Linked DNA regions of Notamacropus eugenii. The protein of the gene in region 1 interacts with the protein of each later gene in a pairwise test. Links are inferred from orthologs where the notes say so. Each region holds a gene or a part of one and is shown in the gene's direction. Other genes may lie near its edges.

Region 1 (8,077 bases):
CTTTGTTTAAAAAAAGCAAAATAGAAACAACAGTTGTTTTCTTCCAGCACATTGGTGCCCAGTACTCTTTTGTACCCGAAGGGTGTGCACACTCCACTTTGGACACCAGTGCCCTAGGTGACCATGGGTTTCTAGTTCTGTGCGTTTAAAGTTTTGTTTCTTCCCTCAGGCTATATATAACTCCTTCCTGCTGCACCTGGGTCTCTTGCTTCCCTTTGACAGCCTAACTTCATGTACATTGTTTCAGCAAAAGCCTGATGTCAGCTTTACCTGGATATGGGTTCTATGACAGGTGTTCTCTTCACAGCAACTCAGACTTTTTTAATAGCTGTGTTCTGGATTATTCTATCTTCCTGATATTTTTCCAATCCTTTTATAGTGCAGTGGATTTGGTGTCTGACCCCTCCCCATTCCCCTTTCCTGTTCCCTTCTTTTTTCTCTTTGAGCTGGCTGCCCTTGTAGGTCAGGGGTTCCAGAGTGTTCACACTGCTACAACTCACTCTCTGAGGGTCTTTGTGGACACCCTACGGTACAGGAGCTAGATTTATACTACTTATAAAAGAGACTCAATCCCATGCTGATATACTTCCCACTTAACAAATCAGAGAAAATGAGCTCAATTTACTCAGAAACTTTTGCTAAACAGAAGGCAAAGTGAGGGCACATTCTAAGTTCAATATACATGTATCCGTAGAGGGAGGAGAGTAGACACAAACTTACAGAAAGACAGCAGGGAGGTACATCTCCTCCCTAGGAATGCCTGGGTCTGCAGCAATTTATAACTCTGAACTTAGGGCTTTTAATGCCCTTTATCAAAGGTAATCTGCACAAAAGTTTACTAATGACTAGACTATTTTCTCTTAAGATTTAAAGTTTTTGATGTAGTTATAGAAAAGATTTCCTCCAATAAAATAACAAGTGTGGCTTAAATATATGGATTCACTCTCCTAACTCCCACTCCAACAGGCAGGTTGGGTCCCCAGAAAGCAATGACTTCTTCTCCCTTCAGGACTGTATCAGTAACCCTGAGGGGTTGTGTCTTCTTATAGCACATATGGAAACCAGGCATCAGATTTCTGGTGTTCTTCCAACCACTTAAAGCTCCCTAGGTCATAATCTGTTCTGTTCTGCCTCTGACACTTACTCACCTAAGATAAGGAAATAGACAAAAAAAGACAAATCCCGCCCCCCAAAACCCCAATCCACTGTGCAATAAATTCATGGTCATGTGGTGGCTGGGTGGAGAGGTAGTGTACCTGTTCCTGTGCTACTTTTCCTTAAAGGCTCACAGCATTTCCTCCTTTTCACTGAATGCTGACAGGAAGAGAGAGTTTTGTTCATGAGTCTTTAAAAAAAAAAAAAACCCTGCATATGACCTGGGAAAAAGCACTATCCTCACACATTTCTAGAAACAGGCTCACCAAGTATCCAAGTGGATTGGCATCAGGAAGCATATATTGTACATGCTCAAAGAACTGGGGATTTGTTGGCTACTCCTCCCCCCGCCCCATGTTCGGGTGAAGAGGGGAAAACTCTCATGGGAAGTTTGGGCTCAGTAAAAGTTTTACAGCTTCTGGAAAGTCTTCCAGCGTGGTCTCTTCCTTTTCAACTCAGGGCCCAAGTTGGCCCATTTGGACCATTTGATGTGTGTGTGTGTGTGTGTGTGTGTGTGTGTGTGTGTGTGTGTGTGTGTGTGTTGTTGAAAAAATCTATAGGATGTTCATTCAGATGCATGTTGAAACTCTAGGCAATAGACATTTTCATCCGTTTGGTCTTCCCTATATGGATAGACAGATCAAATTCCTTTGAGTGATTAAAAATCTTTCAGGAGGCTCTGCAATGTTTTGGGGATTGATTAAATCAATAAAATAGCATCTGCAAATAGGAACTTGTGGAGGATTTTACCCTCCTCAGCTTGGACTCCGTGCTAGATCTCTATTACAACAACAAATATTTTTGGACAGCAAGCATCTCTGATGCCTCATCTGATGCCAATTTCCAAAGGGTCCCCAAACAGTAATTTCTGTTGTTACCTCTTCCAAGGGATCCTGAAAGATCTTGATGGATGGATGGGAAACATCTTGTAAAAAGAGCCTGTTTTACTGAACCAAGTACTTTTCATAATCAGCAATAATAATTATAGTTAGAATTTATATGGTGTTTTAAGGTTTGCAAAGTGCTTTACAAATGGATGTAGGTGCTATTATTACCCCCATTTTACAGACGAGGAAGCTGAGGCAGACAGATGTTAGATGGCTTGCCCAGGGTCACATAGTTCATATCTGATTTCAGTTATAGCAGCATGCACACTCACTCTGGAACCCCTGACCTACCAGTATGATGACAGGTTATATGAATGAGCCAGCCCAAAGAGAAAAAAGAAGGGAACAGAAAAGGGGAATGAGGAGGGGTCAGACACCAGGTCAGACACAGACTCCAGCTCCAGTGCTCTGTCTGCTGAGCCACCTCATTATCTCCAACAATGAGCACACTGGGATCTTATATTCTACATATTTCACTCCATTTTGATATTGTTGTCAATTGTGCACATTGTTGAATATTGCTATAGAAAGTCTGCTTATTCCCTATTAGTATCACCCTCAAGGACAACCTCAATTCATGCTACTGATCATCTTAAAATTTAATATATAGTTAGGAGGGAAGCTACATGAGTTAGTTAGTGGTCCCTGACATTTTCTCCATCAACATTTCTTTCTGCACTTTTGGTTAACTTTTCCTCCTGCAGATACTTTGTACATCAATCCCTTAATGTCTTCAGAATTGTATAATCTCCAGAACAGATTTCTATACATACTTGATCAAACCCTGCTGCTTTTCCTATGTTTTGTTTTCTTAGTGCTATTTCTACCTCAGGGACTATGATTTTAGGGTTGAAATACAGTGATTCCACTAGGTTTAGAGGTCTGTTGAAATGACTTTTTGGTAAATCATTTCTAGTTTTTTTTATTTCTAATCTTCTTTTCATTTGCATCCTTGAATGCTATCGGGATGACTTTGTTTAGTTGGCTATCTTGCCACGCTTTCTTTTAACTCCTTTGAGCCTCTCTTGCTTTTCACTGCTTTATGAGAAGGTATTCCTCATAATCATTTATAATTCTTCTTTATAACATTTTTATAGAGTTCATATTCTAGCCTGGTATTGTCTTTGGCAGATATTTCTCTGGCAAATCAAATGAGCATTCGATGAGCAAGGCATTTTTCTGGAGTCCTTCATTCTCTGTGTAGGAATTAATTTACATTGGTTTAACTTCTGGATGAAATTATGGCAATGTTGTCATTTTTTCCCCTGAAGAGCTTATAAGAACCTTTTCTAAGTTGTCTTGCCTTTTGAAATGTAGACACTTTCATTTTTTTACTGTTATTTGGTGCTCATCATATCCTGCACCCACCAATTTTGAGGCAAGAGTTCATCGCAGAGTCTTTGGGCTGGGTCATCTCTAGTTGTCTGAATTGTTATCCGGTCACTGCACCCAGATGGCTCTGGAGAAGAAAGTGAGGCTGGTGACTTTTCTCAGCACTCTCTCACTCAAATCAAAGTAAACTTCAAGTCATGTTATCATCTACCTGATGTCATGGTGCTTTTGGAGAATGAAAGACAAACCACAATTCTCTGGATTTCCTCAATTCTTTCTTTAAAACCATACTTGACCCTATATATCTCACCTTGTCCTGTCTTTGAATTAAAATCAACATTCACTCTGCTACTTGATTAATGTAAAGCTGGAAAAAAGGTGAGAAAGGAGAGATGTACATGGCCCACTGTGGTTCAGAAGAAAGAACTGAAAAAGTCCAAAGACTTGTAGATTTGACAGAAGCCACAAGCTTCTGTATCATGAACTCTTCCTTCAGAATTGTTGTGTGCAGCATATGGAGAGCCCCATAAACATAGTAAAGAATGAAACTGTGCATTTCAGTAGGCAAGAAAGCTTATTATTAAAGTGGGAGCTATTCCTCAGTTAGCTGTCTGTGCACACACTGCTAACTCTTCACCGTCTGATCAGAATTTTTAATAAGCAAACAAAAAAAAATTAACGAGAGATACTGCCTAAGAGCGAAGTCAGCAGAACCAGGAGAACATCATATACAGTAACAGGAAGACTGCATGAGGAGCAGCCATGAAGTACTTAGCTGAGAATGGCAGTACAATGATCTAAGACAATTCCAAATTGTGAAAAATACTCTTCATCTCCAGGGAGAACTGATGAACCGAGTGCAGATTAAAGCAGACTTTTAAAATTTGTTTCTTGGTTTTTGTCGTTGTTAACTTTTTGCAACATGGCTAATATGCAAATGTTTTGTTTGATTTCATACTTAGGATCAGTACCATATTCTTTACCTTCTTAAAGTGATAGAAGGGAGAGAATTTGGAATTCAGTATTTTTTTAAAAAATGAATGCTGAAAATGTTTTAAAATGTAATTGGGAAGTAATTAACAAAAAAAAGTAGCAGTAGTTCACAAGATATAGTTTGAATTATTTTTAAAAATGGGACACATAACATAACTGCCACCGACGTCCCCCTCCCCCAGGTCCTCAGCTTCTCCCTCTGTCCAAGGGGCGGGCTGGACCCTACGACCTCACCGGGCTTCACACTTAGACTGTGAGGCTGGGGAGCAGAGAGGCGGCCCCTCCCCTCCGCGGGCTCCACCCCTAGGACCACGCCCACCGAGGCACCTCCACTACCATTGAGAACAAGCCCGCCCGCCTAGAGAGGCACGCGTGGGGGAGGGCCGAGGAGGACCCGGCGGCTTCCTCGCCATTTTAGGAGGAAACGCGAATCGTCAGCCCTTCCGTTTCAATAACTTTATTGAGCCCACAGGCCGGGCGCAACCACCTCTGCGCACGCGTGCGGCCGCCTTCCCGCCCCACCCCCTCCCGGGAGGAGGGCGCTCCGCTGCCCAGACGAATGGGGCTGCATCTTTGGTGGGGGGTGGCTGTCCCGGGGAACTCTCGGAGAGCAGTGGGAGGAAGGCAGGGGATCCCGGGCTCCTGCTCGCCGTCTTCCCCGAAGAAGGAGGGGGTGGTGCCCTGAGGAGGCCCAAGAACGAGCGGCGGAGGAGGACAAACCCATCCCCCCCCTGCTGGGGACCTCCGAGCCGCCATGGGCAATACCACGAGCGAGCGAGTGCCAGGGGAACGCCACGGCTCCAAGTCCCACCGCGCCGATGGCGCCGGTGGCCAGGCGCACGGCAAAGAGCACCCGCACAAGATTATGGTGGGCAGCACGGACGACCCGAGCGTCTTCAGCGTACCCGACTCCAAGGTGCGCGGCGCTCGCGGCGGAGGGCAGGGTTCCGACCCCGCTCAGCTCCCCTCCCCGGGCGGTGTGCCTGGGAGGCTGCTCAGTTTCTCTAGTCTGCTCAGTTTCTCTAGTCTGGTCAGTTTCTCTAGTCTGCTCAGTTTCTCTAGTCTGGTCAGTTTCTCTAGACTGGTAAGTTTCTAGTCTGGTCAGTTGCAGCAGAACGCCTGGGCGCGCTGCCCTCTCGCGGTGTGCTCGGCCTTGGTGTTTGCCAAGGCTTCTGTGGGAGCCGTTTTCTAGGGTCTGAAGAGTTATCCGTGGTGGAAAATGGACTGACCGGCTAGTGCAGCGGGGCAGATGAGGGAGGCTCAGCCGGCTCTCTTAAGCCAAGCGCGCAGGGACCATCCTGGAATCCCAAAGCAGGCCTTGGCCTCAAGGAGCATCCATTCTAGTGGAAGAGAACGTGCCCTCAGCTATGTATGGACAAGATATAAAAAGTGAAAGGGATGTCTTGCCGGGGGGGGGGGGGGGGGGGGGAAGGCTTTTTTGCAAAAGGTGGGTTTTGACCTGAATCTTAAAGGAAGCCAGGTGGTAGAAAAGACTATTGGACAGCCAGGTCAGAATAATGGGAGTATCTTGTTCGAGGAACAGCAAGGAGCCAGTGTCAGTAGATCAGAGAATGGGTGGAAGGGAGAGAAGTGTAAGAAGACTGGAAAGGTAGGGAGGACTAGGCTGTGGAGGGGTTTAAAAGCCAAACAGGAACACACATGTATTTGTGTGTGTGTGTATATGTGTGTGTGTGTGTGTGTGTGTGTATATACACACACACACATAATATATATTACACACATATACATACATATCCTGGAAGTAATAGGGAGTGTTAATTTTTTTTTTAATTGATCTACTTGTTGGATAGTCTTTTCTTTCAGTGAGAAGAAGAGTACTTTATTTACTAAGTAGAGGAGGGCTTTAGAAAGGTTGCTTTGGCTGCAGATTTAGGGGGAAATAGTAGGGAGAGCAGCCAGCACGTTGTTGAAATAGTCCAGGCATGAGTTGATGAGCCAGGTGGTGATTGTTGAAGGAGAGAAGGTCAAGTACAGGAGTGTTGATGCTAAGGTAGAAACAAGCAGGCTTAGCTCCAGATTGGATGGATGTGTGGGCTGAGTGGAAGTGAAGAGCTAAGTGATTTGGAAGCCTGGGTCACTGACAGGATTGCAAGGGAAAACTATGCATCAATTGGAACTGCCTGTCTAAATCAGGGATTCTTGTTTTTGTGTGTGTCATGAACCTCTTTGCCAAGCAAGTCTATGGATCTCTTGCCTGAATTAATATTTTTAAATAACTGAAGGAAATGCTGAATTTCAGGTAGAGGTTAGTGAAAAGTAAAATGTGATTCTGTTCTCCTCCCCTCATACAAGTTTGTTGATCTTCTGAAAACCAGAGGGTGGAGGAAAAGGGGCTAGGGTCTCCTAGAAGGCCAGATATAAAGGTTACTCTTGGGATCCTTCTACAGTGACTTACTTGACAAGTAGAAGCTCTGAGAGGAATGTTGACTTTTTTATTTGAAAAACACCTGAGGGTTTTACTGAACCACAAATTCAATATGAGAACAGTATTACATAGCCCAAAGAGGGGTGGGGAACATGTGGCCTTCTAGATCCTCAAGTGTAGAACTTTGACTAAACCCAAATTTCACAGAACAAATTCTTTTAATCATTTAATCCTTTAAAGAGATTTGTTTTGTGAAGCTTGGATTCAATCAAAGGTCTGCACTTGAGGATCTAGAGGGCCACATGTGGCCTTGAGGCCACAGGTTCCCCACCTCTGGCCTAGGAAAATAATTCACTCATAATTTGGGGCTGGAGTGGGGGATTGTACATGTTGTATTCAGTTCAAATTCACAGTTTAGGAAGGCCATTGAGGAGACACCGTGGTGTAGTGGAAAGGGCTTATGTAGTTACATTAGACCCGTGTAGACCTGGTTCAAATCCCATCTACTTAAGTATGACCCTGGACAAATAAATCACTTGGTTTCTCTGTGCCTTAATTTCCTTGTCTGTAAAATCTGGGAGTTGGACTTGATAACTCTAAGATCCCTCCTAGCCCTGAATCTTTGATCTTAGGAAGCTGGAGAATGTCCAAAAGGACTGTAGGCATGCCCTGAAGATGATGATTGGTTGAGGACCAGGAGGATGTTTCAGCCTGAAGAAGAGAAAACTTTAATGGAGATGTGATAGCTGCTTTCAGGTATTCTCATGGGCAGTCATGTGAAAAAGTGGATTAGATTAGTTCTTCTTGGCCCCAGGACAATAAACTGGGTATTGCGTGTGGCAATTATAGGGAAGGAGTTGACAAGTCATTGTAAAGAAAAACTATACAACCAGGAGAGCTGTCCATAAATGGATTCCTTGGCTGTAGGAGGAAATGGATTTTCCTTTAATAGATCCTCCAGCAGAGTGTAGATGACCACTTGTCTGCTCAAGTCAACAAGCATTGATTGCTTACTATGGGCCAAGCACTGTGCTAACCCAAAGAGGGTCAGGAGGACATCCTGGAGAGGAACGAAGGAACTATCTCAGATGTTTGTTGCTCAGGGCCTTCTTTTCCTGGGCTTGGGCTGTCTTCCCTCTCCCTCCTAGTAGAACTTTTTGAATAATTAAAGTCAGTGTGATGGGTGGGTTTTGTTTCGTTTTTCTAGGTGAGTCTCCTGATTTGGGGGCTAAAGCACACAAAAGAGAGGTCTCTGCTGTTGGGTCCTGGTCATTTCCAGGTTTTTAGTCTGTGGGACACATTGCTGAAATGGCTTGAATTGGGC
Region 2 (7,983 bases), about 48 Mb from region 1:
ACAGGTGCCCCCCCCCCCAGGCCATTACCCTCCCACCCCATAACATTCCATTCCAGGGTTGCAGAGATCTGTTTGAGGTCTTGCCAGAGCAGAATGGCAAAGCCTGAGAAAGCCCAGAGTCTTCTGCCTAACAAAACCTCCAGCTTTGGCAAGAAAGAGGAACAAGCTCTTAGTAAATCAAACATTGGATTTTAAGGGCTAAGATGCTTTCTAGGTAAGACACCATGCCCATTTCCATCCAGCCCCTAACGTTGCTGTGTTGCTGTCCCTATACCAAGAGACACAACAATCAGCCTGGTTGCTGGGACTCTGAGCAAGGTGCCAAGCAGCCAAAGTAGGTGCCTGACCTATCTGGCAAGTCTCCCAGGGAGAAGCCACTAAGAAGAGTAGGAGAGTGGATGGCTACAGCAGGGTCCTCACAGGGGATGCCCATGCCAAGGTAGAACACTGAAGGGGACACATGATGGGGGAAGGGGACGCAAAGATGCCAGCTGGGTTGATAGGCTGCGGCAAGGTGATGACAACCCTGCCAGGGACCCAGAAACCCGAGATCAGGTTGGAGGGGAGAAGAAAGGGGAGACATAGAAGGGATGGATCCTTCTTCCTGCTCAGCATGCCTCCTTTTAAACGGCTGTTTCTAGTCAGTTGGGGAAAAGATTATCTTACTTAAAATAAATTCAATGTATAAGTATGTGAATATATTAAATATATGGGGACTTAAAGAAAAAGAATGGGATGTTCTTAATGAAAATCTGGAAGCAAAGAGTACTTGCTGGCTCCTGTGTCTGAGAACCGGGGTTCAAGGCTTGACTCTGCTACTTGGTAGTTCTGTATGACCTTGAACAAGCCATTTCCCTTTGGGCTAGAGTTCTCATCTGGAAAATGAGAGGAGTTGGCCTGGATCTCTAAGGGCCCTTACACCTCTAGACTCTGTGGTCTCCTAAAATCCAGGGACATCTATTTTGGACTGTCAGGGCTTTCTTTTTGTTCTCTTTCTAGTTTTTGGCTATGTACCCAAACAGTCCCACTGCTCCCCAAAAGACCTGGAGTCCAGCTAGTCTCCTCACATGCCAGGTGAATTCTTATCCCCAGGCCTCTGTTCTCCCTGTTTGAATACCTCTCCCCTCCTTTCCAAATCATCCCCATCTTTCAAAGTCTGGCTCCAATGCCAGAAAGCATTCCCTGACCTCTTGGATAGAAGATAAAGGCTGCTAGGTTGGCCCTCCACCTCACCCAGAGCTCCTGCCCTCCTGCCAAAGCTTTTATTGTGGCTCTATTACTGTGGATGTTTGGATCATAACCTGAACCTAAGGTCTGAAATATCCTGAATTTGGAGTCACTGTTTAGTGTCAGAAGGAACTACAAAGGCTAATCTGGCCCAACTGATGCGGTTTAAGGGGTTCAGGGACCCCCGAAGGACTGAAGTACTGGACAAGTCATCTGGAAAGAATTCACAGACTCAAGCATTCCTTGACTCAAAGTGGCCAAGGTTTATGGTAACGCCACTATGGTGGGCAGAGTTCCTTAAAGAACTTGCAACTTAATAGGAATGATGCTAAAACTTATATAGGAAAAGTAGTGGACCATCTGGCAGATATGCTAATTAAGTGATAACTTACAACCCTGGTCACTGGCGTCATTCACTACTGGAAACCAGGGTAAGGGGTTTCTCAGGGGTGTATTTTTGGTCTTTAGGTTCTGTAGCAAGATAGCTTTGAGAGCTGGTGTCTACAGCTTGGCATCTGGATTGAATATGATAACTTTGGGAATCAATACATGATAATTCTATGGTTACAGAACAATCCTGTTTTTACAAGAGAATTTCTTCAGTGCTCAGCTTGTTTTCTGATGGGGAGAGATAGTTTGTTTTACTGGGGCACACTCATGAGTTATTGGTGGGCATAGTGTCCTTGGGCTCAGGAGAAAACTGTCAGGAATAGCGTTTTGAAGCTAGGGAGAATGTGATCTTGGAAGTGGAGTCTAAGCACAAGTATCAGATCACAACCTCTTCATTTTACAGATGAAGAAACTGAGGCTAAGAAATAAAACGACTTAGCTTCACAGAGAAACAAGTGGGTTTTGTACAGAGATCTCTCCAATTCTAAATCCAAAGCTCTTGGATTCCAACTCTAGGAGCTTATAGTTGAGGTGGGAAGATAAGATGGAGAAAATGTGATCAGACCCTGTCACAATCAACAGTACAAACAATGCTGCAGTCTCAGAAGGCCTTTGGGGGGGGAAGCAAGACCAAGTATACAGGTCTTCTGAGTATGTGTAATGAAGGGTAGAGTGAGGAAAGGCAGGCTAAGAGGAAAAGAAAGGAAACAGAACAAAGAATTATGGTCAGGCAGACACCAAAATCTGCCTGGAGCTAGTTGTGTTGTGTTGGCTGGAAGGGAGAGATAAAGCTAGACCCAGGGCTAAAGGCCTTGAATGATAAGCTAAACAGTGGAGTCAAACTCAAATAGAAGCAGATTCCCCAAAGGTGACGTATTGACTTAGAAACCTACAAATTAACATTAGCTATGAATGCATGTATGTGCGTGTGTACATGTATACAAATATATGTATATACATATATATGCATACACACATACACACACATATATATGTACACACACGTTTTATTTTATTAAATATTTCCCAATTATACTTTAATTTGGTTCAGGCATTGGTTTGACACCTGTGAGCTTTTATCCTGCAGGAACTTTGGAGGGAGGCTAGATGGGGGCAGCTAGGTAAGGGAAGCAGATAGAGCACTGGCCCTGAAGGCAGGGGGATTTAAGTTCAAATCTGACCTCAGATATTTAATAGCCATGTGACCCTAGGTAAGTCAATTAACCTTTTAAAAAAGAGACAGATAGGCTGAATCTAGGGAATTACTTGGTAAAGTTAGCGTTTTAGGAAAGTTCATCTACCAACACAGCTTCAGGCTGTGAACCTGATCTGATTTTGATCTACTAGGGAATGACCCTGGAGGCAAGGTGGTCATGTAGAAGACAGTCTTGGAAAAACTTGAGTGAGGGCCTACATACTGAAGTAACTCCACAAAGGACCTGAGCCAAACTTCTGGACACGAAAAAAAGAATCCAAGAATAGGAAATCTAAAGATAACACCCCCCCCCCCAACTTGAATTCCTAGATTGGGTCCCCAGAGAGCAACAGCTACCAGGGCTCTCAGGGGTTCCCACTCCTAACACTAAAGCTTCACAAGTTTCAGCCTGTATGTCTTCCCTTAACAGACATCTGGTAGACATACTTAGCTGTTTACTAATGCTACTGTTTACTAAGATGGCATAATAAGAGTAGTAGCTATAAAACATTACCTCCCCCCATAAATTGGGGGTGCATATTGCCATAAATATACAGAAGATCTTAATGAGTGGGCTCCAATTTGGAGTCAATGACAGATATAGAGAACAATACATCTTCAAGGCAAATCACAGCCACGCCAGTCCAAGACTCCAGGGTCTAGCCATTTCTCAAGAGATCCTCCAGTGGTTTTCTGCTGAGCTTGAGGCAGGATGCTCTACTTGTAGGACAGGCTTGTTTCTTATATGGCGCAGCTTCTCTGGTGAATAATAGCTCTGCTAGATTCCCCTAAGATTTGTTTACTCTTCACCAGGCAGTTATGGTCTCCTCTTTCTCCAGTGGAGACCTAGCACTAGCAGAATCCTCCCCAGTTCTGCTCCTTCAGGGTCTCAGATAGCAGAAGTTTTAGCTTTTCATCCCAAAATGATTCTTCAAGTATCTGTTGGGCAGAATATATCCTCTTCGGGTACCCGGCTCTCATTCTAAGCTACATGACAGATGAGGATGAGAGCGGAGATGAGAGAGATGACAGAAGTGTCTTCCTTACTTCATACTTCTGATGGGGATAAGATCTGAACCCCCCAAAAGAAAAGACCATGTCTTTGGGATCTGGACCCCTAAAAGGAAAAGTCCCTGGACTTTCCCCTGCAGCTCAGGTCCCTGGTGGTCGCCTGAGGCCCTCCCAGTTAACTTCTTTATTTTCTTCACATCTAGACTCCTTCTCTGTTCTCTCAGCTTTTTGTATAAAAGACCCATCTTGTCTCCATGCAAAGTGCTCAGACTCCTTAAGGGTCTAGCCAATGCTTGGATTACTTAAGAATCTGGCCAATATGGCGCATTTTTAGAATCAGGCCCCTCTTCTATCTGTGTTTTAATAAACCTTGTCTTTGGCTGCAAGAAGGCTTGGGCCAAATTCATTGCGGCAGGACGTGCACGTCACTATGTGGGGTGCCAGCACCCCTAAGTCTCCACAGTTTCGCAGGGCTTCCCTCCTGGCCTGGCTCCTGGACCTTGGCTTCCTTAGATTGCCCCTGTTCTGTCCACAGTGACTGGAAAGAGAAAAGCCCTGGTTCGGAACCCGCCTCCCCCGTTTCCCAGCGCGCGATCCCAGCAGTCACTGGACTTGCTCAGCTTGTTTCCTCCTCGGTGACCAGAGGACCCCCCGTGGAGTTCGAGACACGACTGGAAAGGGCCCGGCGCACGTCGGTCAGGATGGCCTTGAGGGGGCCTGCGGGGGTGGGGGGGGTTCCGTCCGGGGCCGGTGGGCCGGACCACCCTCGGCTGACTCAGCTAGGGGCCTGCGGACGCCTCGACCGTCGGCTAGCCCTCGTGCGCCCCGCCAAGGTTTGCCAGCCCTCCACGAAGGGCTCTTTTCCCTCCTCCCAACAACCCTGAGCCGGATGTTAGGGTTCTCCTCATTTTACAGGTAAGGAAATGAAGAGAAGTGGAGGGCAAGGGGCTCACCCGGGGTCGCCCGGCTCAGGGCTGGCGGGGAGAGCTCCCCTCCCCCTCCCCCAGCACCAGCACCGTGTCTGGGTTCGAATCCGGGCTCCAGCAGCTAGCTGTGCGCGCCCCGACAAGTCCCCTAACCTCTCCGGGCCTCAGTCTCCCAGCTATGTAAAAGGACCGGGGTGGGAGGCCCGGACCGGATGCACCTGGGAGCTCCCCTTTCCTGGGCCCAGCTCCAAGGGGCCAGCCTAACTGGATGAGGAAAGGAACTGCTGGGGCGGGGGTGGGGATGGGGGGGTCGGAGGCGTCACGGGACAAGGCCGCGGTCAGGACTGGCGCCTAGCTTGGGGTGATCGGCGTCCGTCGCTCTCCTCCCTCCCTTTTTCCCCCGCCCTCACACACCGAACCCCAGGCAGCCCGGGGACCACGTGATCGTGCCATCACATGACGCTCTCGTAATGGGAGGGTGAGGTTGGCGGGGTGGCAGCGGGGGTGGGAGGGAGTCCGGGTTCTGCCGCCCCGCTGGGGGGGTGGTGGCAGCCAATGGCGGTGGGCCGGCCCCGAGCTCTCAGCCAATAGGAAAGAAGTGGGCGTGGCCCCCAAATCTGGCCGGGTCGGTCGGCGTGTTGCGGCCCCGCAGTTTGTGGCCCAGGGCAGTGAGGGTTGCGCTAAGGTAAGCAGGGCCGTCTCCCGGGGGACCCCGGCCAGCGGGGCTCTGCTTGGGGAGCGTGGGGGGGGGGGGGCTAGTGGGCTCTCCATGCTTGGAAATTGGGAAGGGGGGCTTCTTTTGGGGGGGGGTCAGCCCCCAGCGGGGGGGCTGCTAGTGAGCGGTGACCTCAGTGACTGCCTTCCTTGGAAGAAAGGGAGCCTGCCCATGGCCCCCAGACCCCTTTGAAGTTAATTTCCCGTCTCCCCCACCTCCGTTTAAAGTGGACACCCTGAATGATTTAGAACACTGAAAACAAATAAAATAACAAAAAAAGTGGGTACCCTGGCATCCTGGGGGTCCCGTCTACCCCCCGTGCCAGTTGGACGTGCTCTCTTCCCTGGGCTATTATCTGCTGGGGCAAAGTCCCCAGAGCCAGGAAGGAGGCAGGCAGGAGTCTGTCCCCACCCCCCCTCAGTCCCTAGGGAAGGGGTGAAGAGCCGGACACAATCAAGCCTTGGGCAGCCTGGCACAGCCACAGGACTGGGCCCCCTTCACCCCATCCCCTCTGTGGCTCCCTACATCCCTAGAAATAGCTTAAGAAGGAATAGCCTTTGGGAGTCTGGTTCAGGGTTCAACAGCTCCCTAATAACTTTTTCTTTTGGGTGTCTCACCCTCCTGGCTTCTCTCTGCCATTTTACAGCCCTGAGTACAAGGCGGTCCAAAGCAGGCACAAGAACAGAGAGAGAGAGGAGGTTGGGAATTGGTATTACTAAAACGTTGTTTCTCTCTTCATGCTGTACAGCACAACACACACAACTCCCCTAGGCTTGATTCCTTTTTTTGCAAACTCAGTTGTATTTCTCCTGTGGTTTTTTTTTTTTTTTTAGGAGGAGCCAAAGGTTGGGCTTGTATGGGTCAGGGCCTCAGGTCCTGAGAGGAGGAGTTTATCCAAGTAAAAGCTTTCATCTCCCCATAGAGGAAATAATTTTGTAGAGGCTGGAAACCTTAGAGACTTTGGTGTCTGCCCATCTTTAGACCTTACATTCCGAGAGGCCGAAAGAGAAACAGGTGGAACACCTAGCTAGTGTGGGGAAAACAAGAAATAAAGCAGAGGAGGACCTAGCTGGACCTCAGAAGCTTTGGATTTTTTCTGGGAAGAAAGGAAGGCGGAGGATGAGGAAAGGAGCCTCCTCGTCAAAGTGACTTCTGTGGTGACCAGGGAAGAGTAGGATGAAGGATACCTGGGACTTAGTTGCAGAGCAGGGTTTGAATTTACCGTCACCACTACTGTAATGTCCCACCTACTTAGCTACATCAGATTTGGGGGGCTTAGTCTCTCCCTGTTTCTGCCCCTCCCTCCATCCCAGCTTGGGGATATCTGGATTTCAAGGAAACTTGGTCTCTCAGATGAGGTAAAGGGTAAGAAGGAGGTAACCTCAAAGACCTGTCCTAAAGCTGTTCTCCCCTCCCAACCTATCTCATCTGTGGCTTATGTCAGGAAATGATGCTGACACTTTCTCTTAGCAGTTACTCTTAGTGACCCTGATTTTTTTTTCTTCTATTTCCTCATCTCATCGATTATTGATGGAGGGGGTGAGGCAGGCAAACGTAGAGAAAGAGGGACAAAGAGTTGAATCAGAAACATTTCCCAGATCCCAAGAGCCTGGCCTCTCTCCAGCTTCCATTTTGGAAATTTGTTGAGTTGTATTTAGTCACGTCCAACACTTCATGACCCCTTTTGGGGTTTTCTTGGCAAAGGTATTAGAGTGGTTCGCCATTTCCTTCTCCAGTACATTTTACAGATGAAGAAACTGAGGCAAACAGGGTTAAGTGACTTGTCCAGGGTCACACAGCTACTAAGCATCTGAGGCCTCATTTGAAACCAAGTCTTCCCAACTCCAGGCCGGGCACTCTATCCACTGCACCATCTGGCTTCCCATCATCTTGGAAATGTGTTCTAATATTACCCAACCTCTTCTTGGATCAGTGAAAATGACATCCTCCCCCATAAGTTCTTAATCAAGGGCTGGGTAAGGGAACCCATATAAGAGTTTCCTGCCCTTACATCTATCCTTCTTTTGCAGAAGTTAGTATCACCCCCCAAACCCTTCTTCCCACCCCATCCCCACTCTTGAAATGATCAGTCTTTTCCCTCTTTGAGCTTGAAGGAAGGGATGACCCAACAAGTCTGGGCCAGCCAAGCGTGTCTCCACCACTGCCATGAGACTTAGTTCCCTCTGCTGATTCATGGGTAGGGTGGGGGAGGGGGGACAAGAGACTGCGAAGCAGCTGTTGAAGTCCAGATGAGGCAGCATTTTGGTGTGTGGGAATAAGGGGCTTGGAGAAGAGAGATTGTAGGTGGGAAGAAGGGCGGTAGAGAAAGGGGGAGTGGGATGGGGCATAGGAGAGCTACAGTAGAGATGGGAGAGATGGGTTAGGTGTGGACTAGTGCTCTACACTCTTCTTTACCCCTTGGCTACGCTCCCCTGTTTAGGATCCAGGGAAGGGTGTAAACAGATGTGGTTGACGGAGAAAGAAGAGTCTTGACTCACAGATTCTTTCTACTTCCCTTT

Evidence for each region. The genes of interacting proteins can lie anywhere in the genome.
Region 2: the proteins of PRKAB2 (region 1) and GRN interact in binary tests that used the Homo sapiens proteins (3 or more experiments, as listed by UniProt). The link is inferred for Notamacropus eugenii from reciprocal best matches to the Homo sapiens genes PRKAB2 and GRN.

What each region holds. Positions count from the first base shown.
Region 1 is NC_092873.1:301,712,349-301,720,425, forward strand, and holds the start of PRKAB2 (5'-AMP-activated protein kinase subunit beta-2), read left to right. Parts: upstream 1-4,762; 5' UTR 4,763-5,121; coding exon 5,122-5,283; intron 5,284-8,077. UniProt on the Homo sapiens protein: Non-catalytic subunit of AMP-activated protein kinase (AMPK), an energy sensor protein kinase that plays a key role in regulating cellular energy metabolism.
Region 2 is NC_092873.1:349,631,007-349,638,989, reverse strand, and holds the start of GRN (progranulin), read left to right. Parts: upstream 1-4,596; 5' UTR 4,597-4,712; coding exon 4,713-4,738; intron 4,739-5,331; exon of another isoform or gene 5,332-5,434; intron 5,435-7,983. UniProt on the Homo sapiens protein: Secreted protein that acts as a key regulator of lysosomal function and as a growth factor involved in inflammation, wound healing and cell proliferation. Regulates protein trafficking to lysosomes, and also the activity of lysosomal enzymes.